2 linked regions of the Notamacropus eugenii genome follow. The protein of the gene in region 2 binds, or shares a complex with, the protein of the main gene of each other region. Links are inferred from orthologs where the notes say so. Each region holds a gene or a part of one and is shown on either strand. Other genes may lie near its edges.

Region 1 (6,952 bases), on a different chromosome or scaffold from region 2:
AAACATACTTTTGGCATTTGAACAATGCGTCCAGCCCACTGGAGTTGCACTCTCTGTAGTAGAGTTTGAATGCTTGGCAATTCAGCTCTTGAAAGGACCTCAGTGTCCAGTACCTTATCTTATCGGGTGATCTTCAGAATCTTCCTAAGACAATTCAAATAGAAGTGATTTGGTTTCCTGGCATGACATTGGTATATTGCCCAGGTTTTACAGGCATAGTACAATGGAGTCAGCATAACAGTTCTGTAGACTTTCAGTTTGGTAGGCAGCCTAATACCTCTTCTCTCTCACATTTTCCTTCAGTCACCCAAACACTGAACTATGTCTGGCGATGTGTGCATCATCTTTGTGCATATTCTTGTAAAGTGTACTACCACGGTAAGTGAACTTATCCACATCATTCAAAATGTCTCCATTTGCTATAACTGATGGTTCCATGAATGGATGGTGTAGAGGGGTGCTGGATGGTGTATCTTCTTGGTGTTAACTGTCAGACCAAAATTAGCACAAGCAGCAGAGAATCAATCCATATTCTGCTTCATCTCAGTCTCAGAAGCTACACTGAGTGCACAATCATGTGCAAGCAAAAAGTCATGCACCAACTCTCCATTTTAGTCTTGGTGTGTAGCCTTTTCAAGTTAAATAATTTACCCTCAGTGTGGTCACTGACCTTGATGCCATTTTTGTCCTCTCTGAAGGCATCTGAGAACACTGCTGAAAATATCATGCTGAAAAGTATGGGAGCAGGCATAAAGCTTTGTTTCACTCTTTTGGTGACTGGGAAAGTTTGAGAGCTGTTAAGGTAAGCTCAGTTCTCATGTGAACGGTCTCGGGTCAGGTATGAGGCCCCCCAGAGAACAGCTGGGAATTGAGGAGTGAGACACGAGCTATCTCGTTTTCCACCTCTTCTCAGTGGAAACTTGCTGGGGAGAGCATCCTACCCTTGAGATTGGTCCGTGTTCTGAGCACACCTTTTGTTAATTAGCTAAGGGGCTGAGAGCATGCACAGTGTCCATGAGCGAACTATGCAGCAGGGAGAGCTTAAATGGGGATAGGAAAGCCTGAGAGGGGGTTGTTGTTGTTCTTCCTTGCTCCTCGGGAGGGAGAAGGGGGCTCCCGTGGGGAGCACTAGCCCTGCATGCTGACATGTAGCTTGTATCCGGAATAAAGCCTACACCCCTGTTTGACTCTGGAGGTCTCTTCTCTCATATGTTTATCTGGCTGGCCACCAAAGACCTGATATAAGTAAGAGGACCCGGGCAGCCCACGGCAATTAGGCCAGTCAGAGAGCATCATCCATTGTCCAGAACTCATGAAAGCATGCCATCATGGAATTGGGGTACGATACTAATGAACTTCTCTGGGCAACTAAAATTTGCCTTGATTTTCCACACACCCTCATGATTGACATTAACAAAGACATTGGGCAGATTGAAAAATGTATTCAGACTTCTGTTTTGCTCATGGTAGAGTTGTCAGGCAAAAACACCATATCAACCATTCCTCAACCCTTTCAGAAGCCACACTTCAATGTGCTTAAAGAGGATAAGCTTTAACTATTACCTCTGTGTTGATGACTCTCAGCCTCTAAAAAACTAGCTCTAAAAAACTCTCTTCTAAGTTCCAGACCTGTATTTCCAACTGCCTAATAGTCTCTACCAAAATGTCCCACTTTTAACTCATATTCAACACTTCTAAAACTAGGCTATCTTTTTCCTTTAATCTGCTCCTCCTTTTCAGTGCCCAGAGCCTCTGGGGCTTCTTTTCCAACTTCTTTTGGAATTGAAAGAATGGGTTCCTAAAGGGGGAGATTCAGTAAGGAACACTGAAGGACTAGATTTCTAATACTATGATGGATGAGACCACTCTAATGTTCTTCTCATTGATTATCAGGCTGACTTAATTAGCTTTTTGTAAAGGGCAATTACCAAGGTAGTTTAATAAGAACATTTGGTACAAGAAACCTGGGCTACACTCTCTTACAAGTGTAAAGAATCCAGGGGAAGAGTAGACTGGTTGTGAGGGAAATGGGCAGGATACACATGGGACAAAGGGGTAAATTCATATCACCTGGGTACTGGATTCCATAGTCAGCATTATTTTCTAGAACAAGGGATCTGGCTCCTTGTAATTGTTTCCTTCCTTGGGTAGCTATCCTTCAACATCTCTCTATGTCCATGTTTATCCCTGGTTTGTTTCTCCCTGCTCTTGGCTGGATGCCTTGTCTCTTCTCTTCTCTCCAATGACATGGTCAATGGGGATGGGGGGTGAGGGGTGGAAGGGAAATGAGAGAGAGGGAAAAATTATTTCCCCCTCCAAAGGAGTAATTCCCTCTGAACCTGAAGTGATTCTTTGAGAGATGGCTGGACTAGGTCAGCTACTGCAAATCCTTTGTTATTTAAATCCTCCAGGGATATAGTTAGCCTAGTGCAGGTCTTTATCTCTCACTAATGTTACTGAAATAACCACCTAAACAGACTTTTCACCTCCAATTCATCCTTTTCTCTTTCTCTAACCCTTAACACTACTGCCAGACTAATCCTTATGCATATAGAAGGGTGGCTGTGGATTGATTTAGTCAGTCAAGTCATTCCCACATCAAAAAAGTAGGCTATGGCCTGTCCCCAAATTATTAATACTGCATCCTTATATTTAAGTACAAGCCTGTCAGAAACAAGTTTTTAAATTAGTGTAACATTATTTTCCTCCTCTTTTTGATTATGGTTATAACGTTGGTAATAATATAAGACCTGAATGTATAAAGTGAATCCCTTTGTCCTCAAACCTCAAACCATGGCCACATCCATCTGAGTATTTCCAGCAGCAAGTATAAGTGGAACCCGGATGGAAGGGAGAGAGACATGGGGGAAAGAGACTAGAAGAGGGAAAATTACCAACTCTTTCCCCACTAAGTAGACCTCCAAGTCTGAGAGCAGACATTTAGACCCTTAGCTGTCCAAGTCACCTCTTTTGGTCCCAGATGTGCAAACTACCTGAACCATGATAATGAAGGTGATTTAACCTTAAACTTTCACTTCAACCCTATTATGATAACAACCCACAGCCCCAAATCTAATTCTAGTCCATATCCTAGACAACTACATCCAGTAGTTAAAGATTTAGTAGAGCTGAGCAGGGAATCTAGGCTTACCCAAGGCATATATTGAGGTAAGGGGATACTTAGATATTTGAAGTTGTTTAGTAGGGGCGAAATCAGGAAACTTGTGGAGGCAATAGGAACAATTTAGGGTCAGTTTCAGGGGAGATGATGTTGACTGTGACTGTCATTATTCAGGTTGAGTCAGCACCTCTAACCTTATTCCATTCCCTCCAGGTTTTAACTCCACAGAATTTTGAGAATTTGTTCTATCTGCCCCTATCTGTCATGCTGGGTTCTGGACACCATCATGAGAATCCATTCATATTCCTTTCTTTGATGCTCTTAGGACCCAACGCTAATTCCCATAGGAGCTCTCACCTTCCTATCCACTAACCCACTGCTTATCCTCCTAAGAGCCAGCGACCCTGAAGGGAGGATAACAAGGCTCCAGTCCCCCCTTGCCCAGGCCCTTTCCCCGCCCAAAGAGGCCCCTTTCCCTCCCCTCCTCCTCTCGAGTTAGACTGGGCTGACATCAGAGGGTGTTCCCCTGGAAAAGAAATTCTGAGTTACCCGGCCCAAGGCCCAGCTCCAGGCAGCCCCTAGCTCGTTCCCAGTTCCTATTCTCCACCCCAGTCTGCTGCAGTCCCCAAATCCATACATTAGTTCAGTGAGGCCAGCGACCTCAGCCTGAGCCCCCAAACTTCCAGCTCAACTAAACTAAATTCCCTGTTCTTAGACCCCCTAAAGCAACTTGAGTTCCCCCACTTCCAAGGAGGAAACGGGGCGACTAAAGGGAGAAGAACAGGGAGTTCGGGAATCTAGGATTGCACGATTAGAGAGTTCAAGGGTCCTCTCTCAGAGAACTGCAAACTGCTTAGTTTCCAGGCTTCGAGGGGGAGCTGTCCAGCGAGTCGGGGCGCCTCGCTTTGAAGGGGAGGAGAGTCAAAGTTTTGGCGGGGCAGGAAGAGAAGAAGAGGCCACCGGGTGGGGAGGGGAAGCTGACTCCCCCTCTAGCCGTCCGGTCCGGGGCGTCCCCCGCCCCCCACGTGTCCACTGCTGCCCCAGCCCCTCGGAGGAAACGGCGCCGCTTCCTGCGGCTAGGGCCGGGGATATAGGCGTCCAGCCCCCCGCCCTGGCCCTGGCTCTGGGTCCGCCAGCTGCCTCTCTGCTTCGGCTGCACCATGGTCTCAATCGGAACCGGCTGTTCTGGCTCTCCTCATCTCCCTGCGACCCCAGCCAGACTTCGAAGCCCCCTCTGGCTCCTCCTCCTGCTCTGTTGTGAGTGAGATGCTTCCCGGGGCCTGGGGAAAGGGAGCCAGAAAGAGGGGCTGAGGAGAGGGGCAGGAGGAAGGACGGGTGTGAAGGACCGGGATGGAGGAGTTAGGGCTACTGAGAGAGAGGTGGCTCCGAATTTGGCGCACCATGTGTCTTGAAGCCCTCCACCCTACACCCTCTCGAGGAAGGTCCGAGCACTGTGGGGAAAAGGGTAAGGATGAGGAGGAAAGGAAGAACTTTGTGGGGGAGGAGTACGGGTTCAAGGAAGCTGTGGCCTGACTTTTCTTTCTAGCAGGGGCCTGTCCCAACCAGTTCCTTCCGGGAGCTTGGAAAAACCTATGCATGAAAGACTCAGTAGTCCCCTTTGCCCTAGTAAGTCCCAAGCCAGACTAACTTAGTCTTACCAGCAGCTAAGTCAGGAGAGCTTACATTGACATAGCAGTTTGCAGAGCACCGGTCTTGAAGCAGCCCTTGTCAGGAAGGTAGTTAAGTGTTACTGCCCCGATTTTACAAAAAATGGAAAACAGAGATTGTGAGGGATTGGGTGACTTGATCATTGCCATGAAGCTTGATCGAGATATCCAAATCTTCCTTGCTCTGGGACTCCAAAGCACCTGGGCCTTCTGACTCCAAACACATCACTTTTGCCAACCCATGCATGGATTCTTGAAAGGCTGTCCCTGGCCATCCTTTCTCCTTTCCCTTCTCCTTAATCCTTGCTCCCATCCTTTCTGCATTACCCTTGCAGCACTGGACTGAGGTTGATCCCCAGGACTTGCTGTCTCACTTCAGTTCATAGCTTCTTCTTCCCACAGTTACCCTAAATGCCCGAGGCTCTGAAGCTCAGACAGTCCCTGATATCACGGAACCCTCTAAATGGCAAAATGGTGAGTGTCCAATGACTGAAGAAAAGTGGCATTAAAAGAAGGGTCCAATTCCTGGCAATGCTTCCCCGGGGCATTCCCTATATACCTACATTGTTCTCTCTATCTGGCTGCTCCCTGTCCCCTGCCCTGGTAAACACAATTATTGCCCTTCCCCTTTGTTTCCTTTTCTCCCTCTATGTCTTTTGCTATTTTAAGCTCCTTAGTTGATTAAGGAGTTTGAGAGTATCCAGGGCTTCCATGGAATCTCAGGATTTGGAAGGAGGAGGAGAGATACCTTTGGTGGGGAAGATGTTCAGAGTTGTAAGAGTGGAAAGGCACCAAGGCACACAGGTGTGAAGGACCTTTTGCATTTGTGCCTATAGTGGAGGTGACCTCTGAGCAGAACTATGAACTAACAGCCAGACAATGCTGGTCGGACTATGAGGAACACATGGGAAACATCAGCAGAGAGGACTGGTGTGAATGGGACATGATCAGCAGGTAGGAGGCAGAGGCTGGGCTGGGAACTAGGCCATGGGCCTGGGGTAATAGACCAGAACCTAATGGGTGGGAACCTACTTCGAAGGGCTGGGGATTATCTTGAAGAATGAAGTACAAATGAAGGCAGGGCCCTGGGTCTGGGGTACAGGAGATGGCCTTTCCCCAGTCCTCCCTCATTCTGATTCTCATTTTACCCTTTCCCCCACCCCCACAGGCCATACAGCAACTTACAATACTGCCTGGAGAAACTGGCAGAATTTTTCAAACTGGGTTTCCCCAATCCCTGGGCTGAGCAGATCATCTTCCAGAGCCACCAGATGTACTTTGCCAACTGCTCATTAGAGCGTCGGCCCCTCTTCTTTGACCCCCCAGAGGAGGTGCTGCTCGCACTGATCATTGCTCCCATCTGCCTTATCCCTTTCCTTGTTACCCTGGTGGTATGGCGGAGTAAGGACAGTGAGGTCCAGACATAAAACATCCCTACCCCTCATCAAAATATCTCAGTCTAATTTCCAGTTCCTCTCCTCCCTGGGACTCTATTCCATCACCCCTACCCCACCCTGCCCTCAATAACCCCTTGGGGAAGCTCAGTCTGAACTTCTGGGGGAAATGGGGGCAGAAAGGGAAAGACAGATGGGAACATGGGCTCTAGAATTACCATAACAAATAAACCAATTGTTGGGTTTTCCCCATAGAAGTTCTCCATAAAGTCATGTGTCTTATCTCTCAGAGTCTTTGTTTATGGCATGATCCCTGGGCTTCAAGTCGCAAGGATGGAAGGAACCAGATGGAGTCCACACTCCCTCTCATAAAAGCTTTCCTGATCTTTTCCTCCATTCCTGCTCCTTCCTCTGAGGGTAGGGCCCTTCCTGACACTGCTCCTAACCCAGCTCCAGGAAACATTCAGGAAACAACTCCCATCCGCCCTGGATAGGAAGATATGATGGGGGGAGGGGGTGCAGGGAGGGGGAAATATAATATCCTTACTTTCCTGGCCTTAGTTCCCTTTGTAGGGCCTGAAGGGCTAGACATTCTAAGAGGACTCCAAGGAGATTCATCCAAAGAGGTCCAGGACAGACAGCAGTATGTAACAGAGGCTCTCTCCCAGTCACACTGAGGTCCCTCCTGGTCCCTGTTCTCCCCTCTCCCTCTAAGACAGAAGTGTTATCTACAGTTCTAGACACCAAACTGCAGCCTGGCCATGTGCTGC
Region 2 (7,792 bases):
TCAGTTTGATGTGATTTCAGAGCAGTGGGGATAGTATATTCTGAGCATTAGGCCCCAGACCTGTGAACTGAAGATTGTAAGTTCACTTGCTTAATTATAGAAAGTTGACTGGAGAACCCCCACCCTTGTTTTTCCTTATTACAGTGACCAAGTGAACATGGCAGAGGCGACTCAATTATATGGAAAGTCCTCCAACTTATTTTTGTACCTCCAGACCACACTTTCTTGCCCAACATGAGCAGGTGACCATCTTATTACCATTTGGTCACCAGAGATGACTCCTCCCTTATCCATCTTCATTTTGGGCCCTTAAAGCAAAGTTTATCAACCAATGGAATTCTGTATTTTGTGTAACCTCTCTGAACTACTCAGGTATCAAACCTTATCAGATCCTAGTATCAAACCTTATTTAAAAAAAATAAGGCCTGGGAGAAAGAAGGCATCTCAGATCATGGAGAAGATCTGAGGTCTACTTCATTATAGGGACTTCTTCCTCCCAGGCTGACTCCAGCTTACTTTTCCAGGCTGATTCACAGAATCACAGATTGGAGACTTGGAAAGGACCTCAGTGGCCACCCTGGGCCCAAAAGGAATCCCCACTAGAACCTGTTCCAGTGTCAGATGAGTCTTCAGACACAGGCTGTCGTCTAGTCCAGGGATGGGGAGCATGTGGTCTCAAGACCACATGTGGCCCTCTAGGTCCTCGAGTGTGGCCCTTTGACTGAATGCAAACTTCACAGAACAAATCCCCTTCATAAAAGAATTTGTTCTGTAAAACTTGGGCTCAGTCAAAAGGCTGCACCTGAGGACCTAGAAAGCCACATGTGGCCTCAAGGCTGAAGGTTCCCCACCCCCTATCTAGTCAAACTGGTCCACTCACTTCTGCCCACACATCATCCCATCTCCATGCCTTTCCTTGCCCAGCATGTTCCTCATGCCAGGAATGTCCTCCCTCCTCACATCTACCTTCCAGAACAACTAGATTCCCTTCAAGCTAAGCTCAAGCCCCACTTCCTACTGTATGTCCTGCTGCACCCCATGCTAATGCTTTCCTGCAGATTGTATGTGCTAATTCATACTGTTTCCCCCTCCCCCTAAGAATAGAAGCTCTTGGAGGGCAGATATTATTTGAAGTTTGCCTTTGAAGCTGCGGAACTCAGTTCCTGGCACAGAGGAAGCATTTAATAAATGCTTGTTGAGTGAATTAAGGATGTTAACCTGACTCTATCCATGAAGGGCTCATTTTAGGCTTTGGATAAAGTCATGATATAACAGTCTCCAAGTGTCAAAGTGAGAGCTGACTGCCTTCTTGCTCACCTTCCTTTCTTCCTTTCACTTAATGAAGACTCAGAGTTAGAGGCTGGGAGAGAGGAGGGAGGAAGAAGGGAGAATGTAAGAATAGAAGGTGTCAGGCATAGGACAGGATGTGAATAGTCACACACAGACTCAGATCTCTATCTAATTAACATCTAGATGCATCTTTGAGTTCAAAATAAACAATGGTTATTGAAAGCTTACTATGTACTGGGACCTCTACTAGAAACCTCAGGGACCACAAGAGAGTAAAAGGAAGCCCCTGCCCTCATGTGGCATGAGATATGGGGAGTGGGGCAGAGGTGGGGAGGGACAAGCACTCAAATGACTGAACAGTGGAGTAGGACAAATCAGAGCCATTAGAAGTGCGCAGAGAAGTACAGAGACACCCCTCTCAGGGTTAGGGTTCAGGGTGTGAGCAGGGTGTGAGCGGGGCAGGCTTCATGAAAAAAGGCAGTATTTCCAAGTAGCACAACATTTCTGATCCAGAAAGGACCTTAGACAGTGCTCATCCCTATGTTAAGAGCACTAGTGCTGTCTCTGGTACTAAAAAGGTCTCTGGTTTGGGGGAGGGGGAGATCAGTGCACCTCTGCACATGAACAGAAGTAAAGAGTGAGAGAAATCTAAGCATGGGGAACAACCTGTGAGAGGCGAAAGGCAGTAGTTGGAATGTCACATATGGAGACTAACAAACGGGTCTCCAGGAGGAACATGGAGCGAGTGAAGGGGGGGGGGGGGATGTGAAATCATTGGAAACAGATGTTGGAGCCAGGTGGTGAAGCCAAACTGAGGGGTGGGGAGTTATTTCATAGAAGAGGCAGGGGGGGATCTCTGAAGTTACTTGAACAAGTGAGGTCCTCTGGTCTCCCTTGAGCTTTAGGAAGTTGTTAGCAGGTGTGCTGAGGATGGATTGGAGACTGATTAGAAGACCTCAAGGGGTGCTGAGGACATGGACTGGGAGAAGAATGTGTGGGGTGCGGAACTGACAAGACGTGTAAACATTGGTTGGAGCACAGAGTGAGTGCCAAGGAAGAATGAAGGATTGAGGTAGGGCAGACAGAGAGATATATAGAGACACAGAGAGAGACAGAGACAGAAGAGAAGAAGGTTCACAGACTCCCAACATCCAGACAGAGGGTCCCCTAATTTCAGGCTTGTTAATAATAAACTGAAGGATCCATATGTCTGCAGAGGTAGTAAGGTATTGAGATCAGATTAGAATTCAGGTCTTCCTAACTTCAGGACCAGCATTGCATCTACTCCACTAGGCTGCCAGATTTCAGGGTTTGAGAAGTAAATGGAGTGAGAACATGATTCCTGGATTCTCCTTCTAGGAGTTTCTCTAAGGGCACAGAGACTTTTTGAAGCTTCCACTGTTGCATCAGGAAGTAGACCTCCAGCTACCTGGGAAGATCCTTAACTCAGCACTTGCTGACATCCTTCCAGGTAGGCTAGTGGGTGAGTACCTCAGGGTTGGCCCAGAAGTACAGGATTTGGTCAGGACCCATGTACGAAGGAACTTGGCCTGGGGTCCCAGAGCCTGGATAGAGCAGAGGGTAACCTACCTTGGAGATCCCTTGAGCACTTGGAAGTACACTGGCAAATCCCTGGAGCTGCAGAGGAGTGGATAGAGGAGACAAAATCAAAGGATGCCCCTTTTCCCAGAGGAAGTTACAATGCCTGACCCTGAGTCCTGCAGGGCTACAGGACTTCATGGGGATATTCAAAGTCTCTTTCTCCTCCCCATACTCCCACAGGGGAAAGTGAGAGGAGCATGGGCTGCTGCCAAGGGTATCCCAGGTTCCCAGTGGATCTCCGCTTTGGCCAGTGGACAAAGGCCCTTCACATTGATACTATCTACAGCTGTTACTCCCTTTCTCCCTAGCTGCGTACCTGCTGTGACTGCAATGTCAGGCTCCCTGGAATGGGGGGAAGAGGCTCCAGGCAGATGTTCTCAGACAAAACTCCCTTATCCCCGTCCCCAGCCAGATTGTCCCTCCCCCAGATCTGGTCAAGGGATAGGAAAGCTTTGATCTCCAGGTCACATGTGGCCCTTCAGGTCCTCAAGTGCAACCCTTTGATTGAATCTAAGCTTCACAGAACAAATCCCCTTCGTAAAAACCATTGGCCCAGGCACTAGCATGGACATTAGCAAGAAACCCATTAGCAGGAAATTCATCTGCCACTTCCAAGCTCCAGCCCCAACTAGGACAACTGCCCACCCTGCCCAAACCAAACTAGTCCCAGCCCAGCCCTGCCCAGCCCTGCCCTGCCCAGCCCAGCCCTGCCCAGCCCTGCTCAGCCCTTCTTCCCCATCCTGCCCCAGTCAGGGCTGTGTCTGAGAAGCCTTGTCCTTTGCAGGAGGTTACCCGTACCGTGAGGAATGCCCTTCTGGGACGAGGTTGGCAGTGAGGTTGGGAGACACTGCTGAGCACCCCTTCCCTCCAAAGTAGGGGCAACTCTGCTCCTTCATACCCGAAGTAAGGCCTGGCATGTATCCACCACAGCATCCATCTCCATGAGGCAGACTGGCGGGGTTCAGCTGCTCCCCCAGATCCCTCAACCCCCCCAGCTCCCCAGCTCCTCCAGCCCTTTCTCTGTCTCTATTCTCCTTTGGACTCCAAGTTCCCCTCCCGAGACGTGTTCTCCCTCTTATCCACACTCACCTCCATTCCTGCTTTCCATCTCCGGGTAGGCTGTCCCCCAGACATACACATACACACCCGCACGCACTCGCTAGACACGCACACTTTCCATCCTCACCCACCCAGCTTGCGTCCCTGGACCTGGGAGGGGAAGGGAAAAAAGAGGAGGGAGGAGGAGCAATGGGGGGTGGGGGGGAGCGCGAGGAGTGAAGCGGGTGGAGAAGGAAGAAGAAGAGGAAGACAGGGGAGGGAGGAAGAGTGGGGGAGGGGGAGGAGGGCGCGCGTTACCTGGAAGCTCCTAGGACCACTCCGGCAGCTAAGACGCTCAGTCGTGGCCACAGTCGGGTCTAAGCCCAGAGGGCTGGGGGCAGGGGGCGGGGAAGAAGCTGCCCTAACTCTCCGCCTTCCTCCAGGGCTGAGCGACCGAAGCCTCCGGGGCAGCTCTCCCCCTGCCTGGGCTGGCTAAGCAGCGAGCTTCCCCTCAGCCTGCGCGCAGAGCCTACCGCCGGAGCTCCCGCCAGCGTACCGGGGGCGCTCCTGCTCTCGGACTCGGACCCGGACCTGACTCTGAGAGGCGACCGCTGTGCCCGGGACTGACTGACGTATCGACAAGAGGACTGACGTCCGAGAGCTCAGCCTCGAGGGAGGCGATGCCCCCCTAGCCCCCCGCTCCCTGGGAGTGAAGACGGCGGCTTGAGCTGCGCTGCTCTGCCCGAGCGCAGTGGGGGCCCCACCTCGGGGCGGGGGGGTGATCTGTGGCGGGCCTGAAGACCGAGCCAGGACCCCAGGAGGGGACCAGAGAGAACGGCGAGGAGCAGAGCTAGATCCGCGGAGGGGCTCAGGAAGCGGCCACCGGGTAAGTGCCCACAAGTTTGGCCTCCTGCATCCTGGTGGGGGGGTATCCGGAGAGCAGGAGAAGTGGGGAACCCGAAGCTCCTAGGTGGGCGGCCCGGAGGGAAGGAGCTGCGGACGTTTGCGGAGATAAGCAGGCACCCACCTGTGCTTTGCGCCCGAGCGCCCCCTTCCCCGGAGCCCTGGAGGGTGTAGGGGAGATGGCAGGGAGGCAGAGCCCAGGGACTGGGCGCGAGCTTCTAACCTAACTCAACCATCTCTGACGCGCCTGGCTTGCCCAGTTCTGTCCCACACCCGGGCGCCCCAGGATCTTATGGTGTGGCAGCGGGAGGGTGGCGCAGAGGACCGGGCCGCGTGTCTCGTAGCACACGCAGCTTGGTGGGCGCCTCTGCCGCCAGCAGAGTGCGCGTGTATGTGTATACCTGGGTGTGCGCGGGCGCTGGTGGCTCTGGGGTGTGCACAGAGCTGGGAATCGCCTGGCACTGGAAGGGTTGGACAGGACCTGGAGCCGACCAGGGGCTGCACTGCCGAGGGAAGATGGATACCCTCCGAGCCTTGGAGGGAGGTTGACTCAGGGTTCCCGGTCTGGTCGCAATTCGAGCAGCGGTTGGGCATATTCTCTTACGAAGATGGCTTTTGGCGGCGGCTGCAGCCCGAGAACGCAGCTCTTGCAGTCAGGAGTTCTGGGTGTAAATCCGGCCCCAGCTACTTGGTGGCTAAGTGATCTCTCTCTTCTGGGTGCCTCGGTTTACTCGGCTGTAAACTAGGCAGAACGACAAAAGAGAGAGAACTCTTGGGCAGTGAGTGGGCAGCGCTGTCCCTGGGTCCCTCCTACCCAGAGCAGAAGGGCCTGGCCGCTCCTACCACAGCTGCTCCTCTCCCCCAGATGTTTTATAGACGTCAAAGTTACCAGATGACTTCTTTTAACTTCAGAGAGGTGGACAGAGCTCAAGCTGGGCGCCTTATTCTAGACAGGTCCCAGAGAGCAAGACAAGCCCTCCGCCCCCTCCCCGCTTGCCGCCATAGGCTGGCCTGGCCCGGGTGTGGGAATGGGGCTCAACCAGCTGTAATTACAGTATGGTGGTGCTGCTAAAGGCCCACCCTGGTCGGTTGCCCAGCCTCGAATTCTCCTGTCCTGTGAGAGTCTGGGAGACCTTCAGTCTTTTTCCTGAAGGTTTTTCTCTATGGAGGGATGGGATGTGACAGGATGGGACGACCAGACAGGTCCTAATGGGTTGGGAAGGGATAGGATGCGATGGAATGGGTTGGAACCGCTAAGATCTGGTCCTACGCAATAACGTTCTTCCTGAGGTGGCCTTTGGCCTAGAGAGATTCAGTCTGATGGTGATAGCAAAAGAGTCATGGCTGCTATGGTGAGAGGGGGAGGAAGGCAGGGAGGGAATGAGGGAAAAAGAGAGAGAGAGAGAGAGAGAGAGAGAGAGAGAGAGAGAGAGAGAGAGATTGAACTAGGGACACTGGAGAACCCAGGATGGGCTGTGTTAAGGAGGGAGCCCCAGAACCCAGTAACTCCCTAGGCAGGCTAGAGGGGCCCCAAGGGCTGTGAGTCTCCAGGTACTCTCAGAGTGATTGTGGAAATCACCAAAAGACCTGGGAAGGGAAGGGAGCCTGAAAAGGTTGACTCTGGGAGACATGTGCATCTAGTTGCCTGCCCTATTCTACATGCTAAGGACATAGGACATAAAAGTGGCTCTCTGTTCTTGCCCAATACCCACAAACTTCCCAAACAGACAGGGCTTTCCAATGACCCTAGCTCAGGAAGAAGACCAATGTTAAAATATGCAAATGACACGCTTATGTAACTGCATTATGAAATTAGGACAAGATCATTAGATTTTCAAAATGTCCGAAGTGTCTGTGCCCAAACTCTTAAGTGTTGCCGGGGCCCTCACAGGCAGGCTTGCTTTGGTTTCATGCCTTAAACCTGAAGTTCATTTTAAGTATGATTTTCTCCAGTGGAGAAATGCTATTATCTGGAAAGTGCTGCCAGAATGGCTATTGGTCAAGGTAGCATGCTGGTCACCCAAGTCACCCTTCCTGCCACCCATTTGCCATTGCATCAGAAAGCTAGGAGGGAGATTCCTTCCCCTCCTGGCTCTCCTGCAGACAAGCAAGAAATGAGCCAATCGAAGCAGTCTTCCTTTTTTCAGGATTTGTAGCCCCAGCTGAAAAGCAGGATAGCAGCCCCAAAGACACCAGCCCTGGCTTCCCTCAGGCCTGGTGATCCCCCACTCCCTTCTAAACCCGAACTCATTTTGTTGAGATGCGACCTAGCCTGAAGAGTCCTCCAGTCTGCAGAGCTTCTAGAAGTGCTAGCCATGGGCTCCTAGGCCAGGAAAGAGCTTGATCTAAAAGCCAAAGCAAATTCATCCATCTTTGTCATTCATCCCCTTCCCATCTACAGCCCCGCCTCTCTGAGCTTTACTCTAAAGAGGAGAGTGGGGCTTTCATCTTCTCTCTCACTGCCTGGAGACCAGAAAGCTTCTAACCAACAGGAAGGAAAAAAAATTTCCCAAATGGAGACAGTGGCTTTGAAATGTTTTTGCCAAGTGGGGCTTAGGAAGTCTGTTCTGAAATGCCTCTCCCATGTCCAAGGCATCTGCTCAAATCCCTGAACCCTCTCCCTTTTGAGAAGAAGCCCAGCCAGACCTCAGGGGTACTTACAAAAACAAAGCTTTTATAGGACTCCGTGATCAGTTTATGTGACTGTTTCATGATCATCGAAGCCACTTGATCTGTAACCTTGGGTGGTGACCTGGAGCTAACATCAGGCACAGGCTGTGGTCACAGCAGCTGCTGTTCTAAGAGCAGAATAGCACTCACCTCCATTCTCTTGGGGCTTTACAGCACCTGCCAATCTCTGGCCTCCAAGATTTAGTTTCAAAATTGAGTGATACAGAAGGGATACTATGCAAGTCTTACTCATGACAATTATCTCATTTGGTCCTCACAACCACTCTGG

What was found. The genes of interacting proteins can lie anywhere in the genome.
Region 1: the proteins of CALCR (region 2) and RAMP2 are in contact, whole or in part, in a cryo-EM structure (PDB 7TYX), measured with the Homo sapiens proteins. The link is inferred for Notamacropus eugenii from reciprocal best matches to the Homo sapiens genes CALCR and RAMP2. Residues at the interface, in NP_001158210.1 of Homo sapiens: Arg45, Lys46, Met48, Met49, Asp50, Gln52, Tyr53, Lys54, Tyr56, Asp57, Met59, Gln60, Trp76, Gly78, Arg126, Phe235, Leu238, Ile242, Thr246, Val250, Glu255, Lys256, Gln257, Arg258, Trp261, Tyr262, Leu264, Leu265, Phe269, Pro273; in NP_005845.2 of Homo sapiens: Trp86, Tyr93, Ser94, Arg97, Asp98, Glu101, Leu109, Pro112, Glu117, Ile120, Phe121, His124, Phe128, Cys131, Pro136, Phe138, Ser139, Asp140, Pro141, Leu146, Met149, Ile150, Pro153, Ile154, Leu156, Ile157, Leu160, Ile161, Leu163, Val164.

What each region holds. Positions count from the first base shown.
Region 1 is NC_092873.1:359,293,082-359,300,033, forward strand, and holds RAMP2 (receptor activity-modifying protein 2), read left to right. Parts: upstream 1-4,146; 5' UTR 4,147-4,281; coding exon of another isoform or gene 4,282-4,378; 5' UTR 4,379-4,471; coding exon 4,472-4,586; intron 4,587-5,190; coding exon 5,191-5,262; intron 5,263-5,624; coding exon 5,625-5,742; intron 5,743-5,956; coding exon 5,957-6,215; 3' UTR 6,216-6,451; downstream 6,452-6,952. UniProt on the Homo sapiens protein: Accessory protein that interacts with and modulates the function of G-protein coupled receptors including calcitonin gene-related peptide type 1 receptor (CALCRL) and calcitonin receptor (CALCR). Required for the transport of CALCRL to the plasma membrane.
Region 2 is NC_092874.1:489,278,820-489,286,611, reverse strand, and holds the start of CALCR (calcitonin receptor), read left to right. Parts: upstream 1-4,725; 5' UTR 4,726-4,816; intron 4,817-7,792. UniProt on the Homo sapiens protein: G protein-coupled receptor activated by ligand peptides amylin (IAPP), calcitonin (CT/CALCA) and calcitonin gene-related peptide type 1 (CGRP1/CALCA).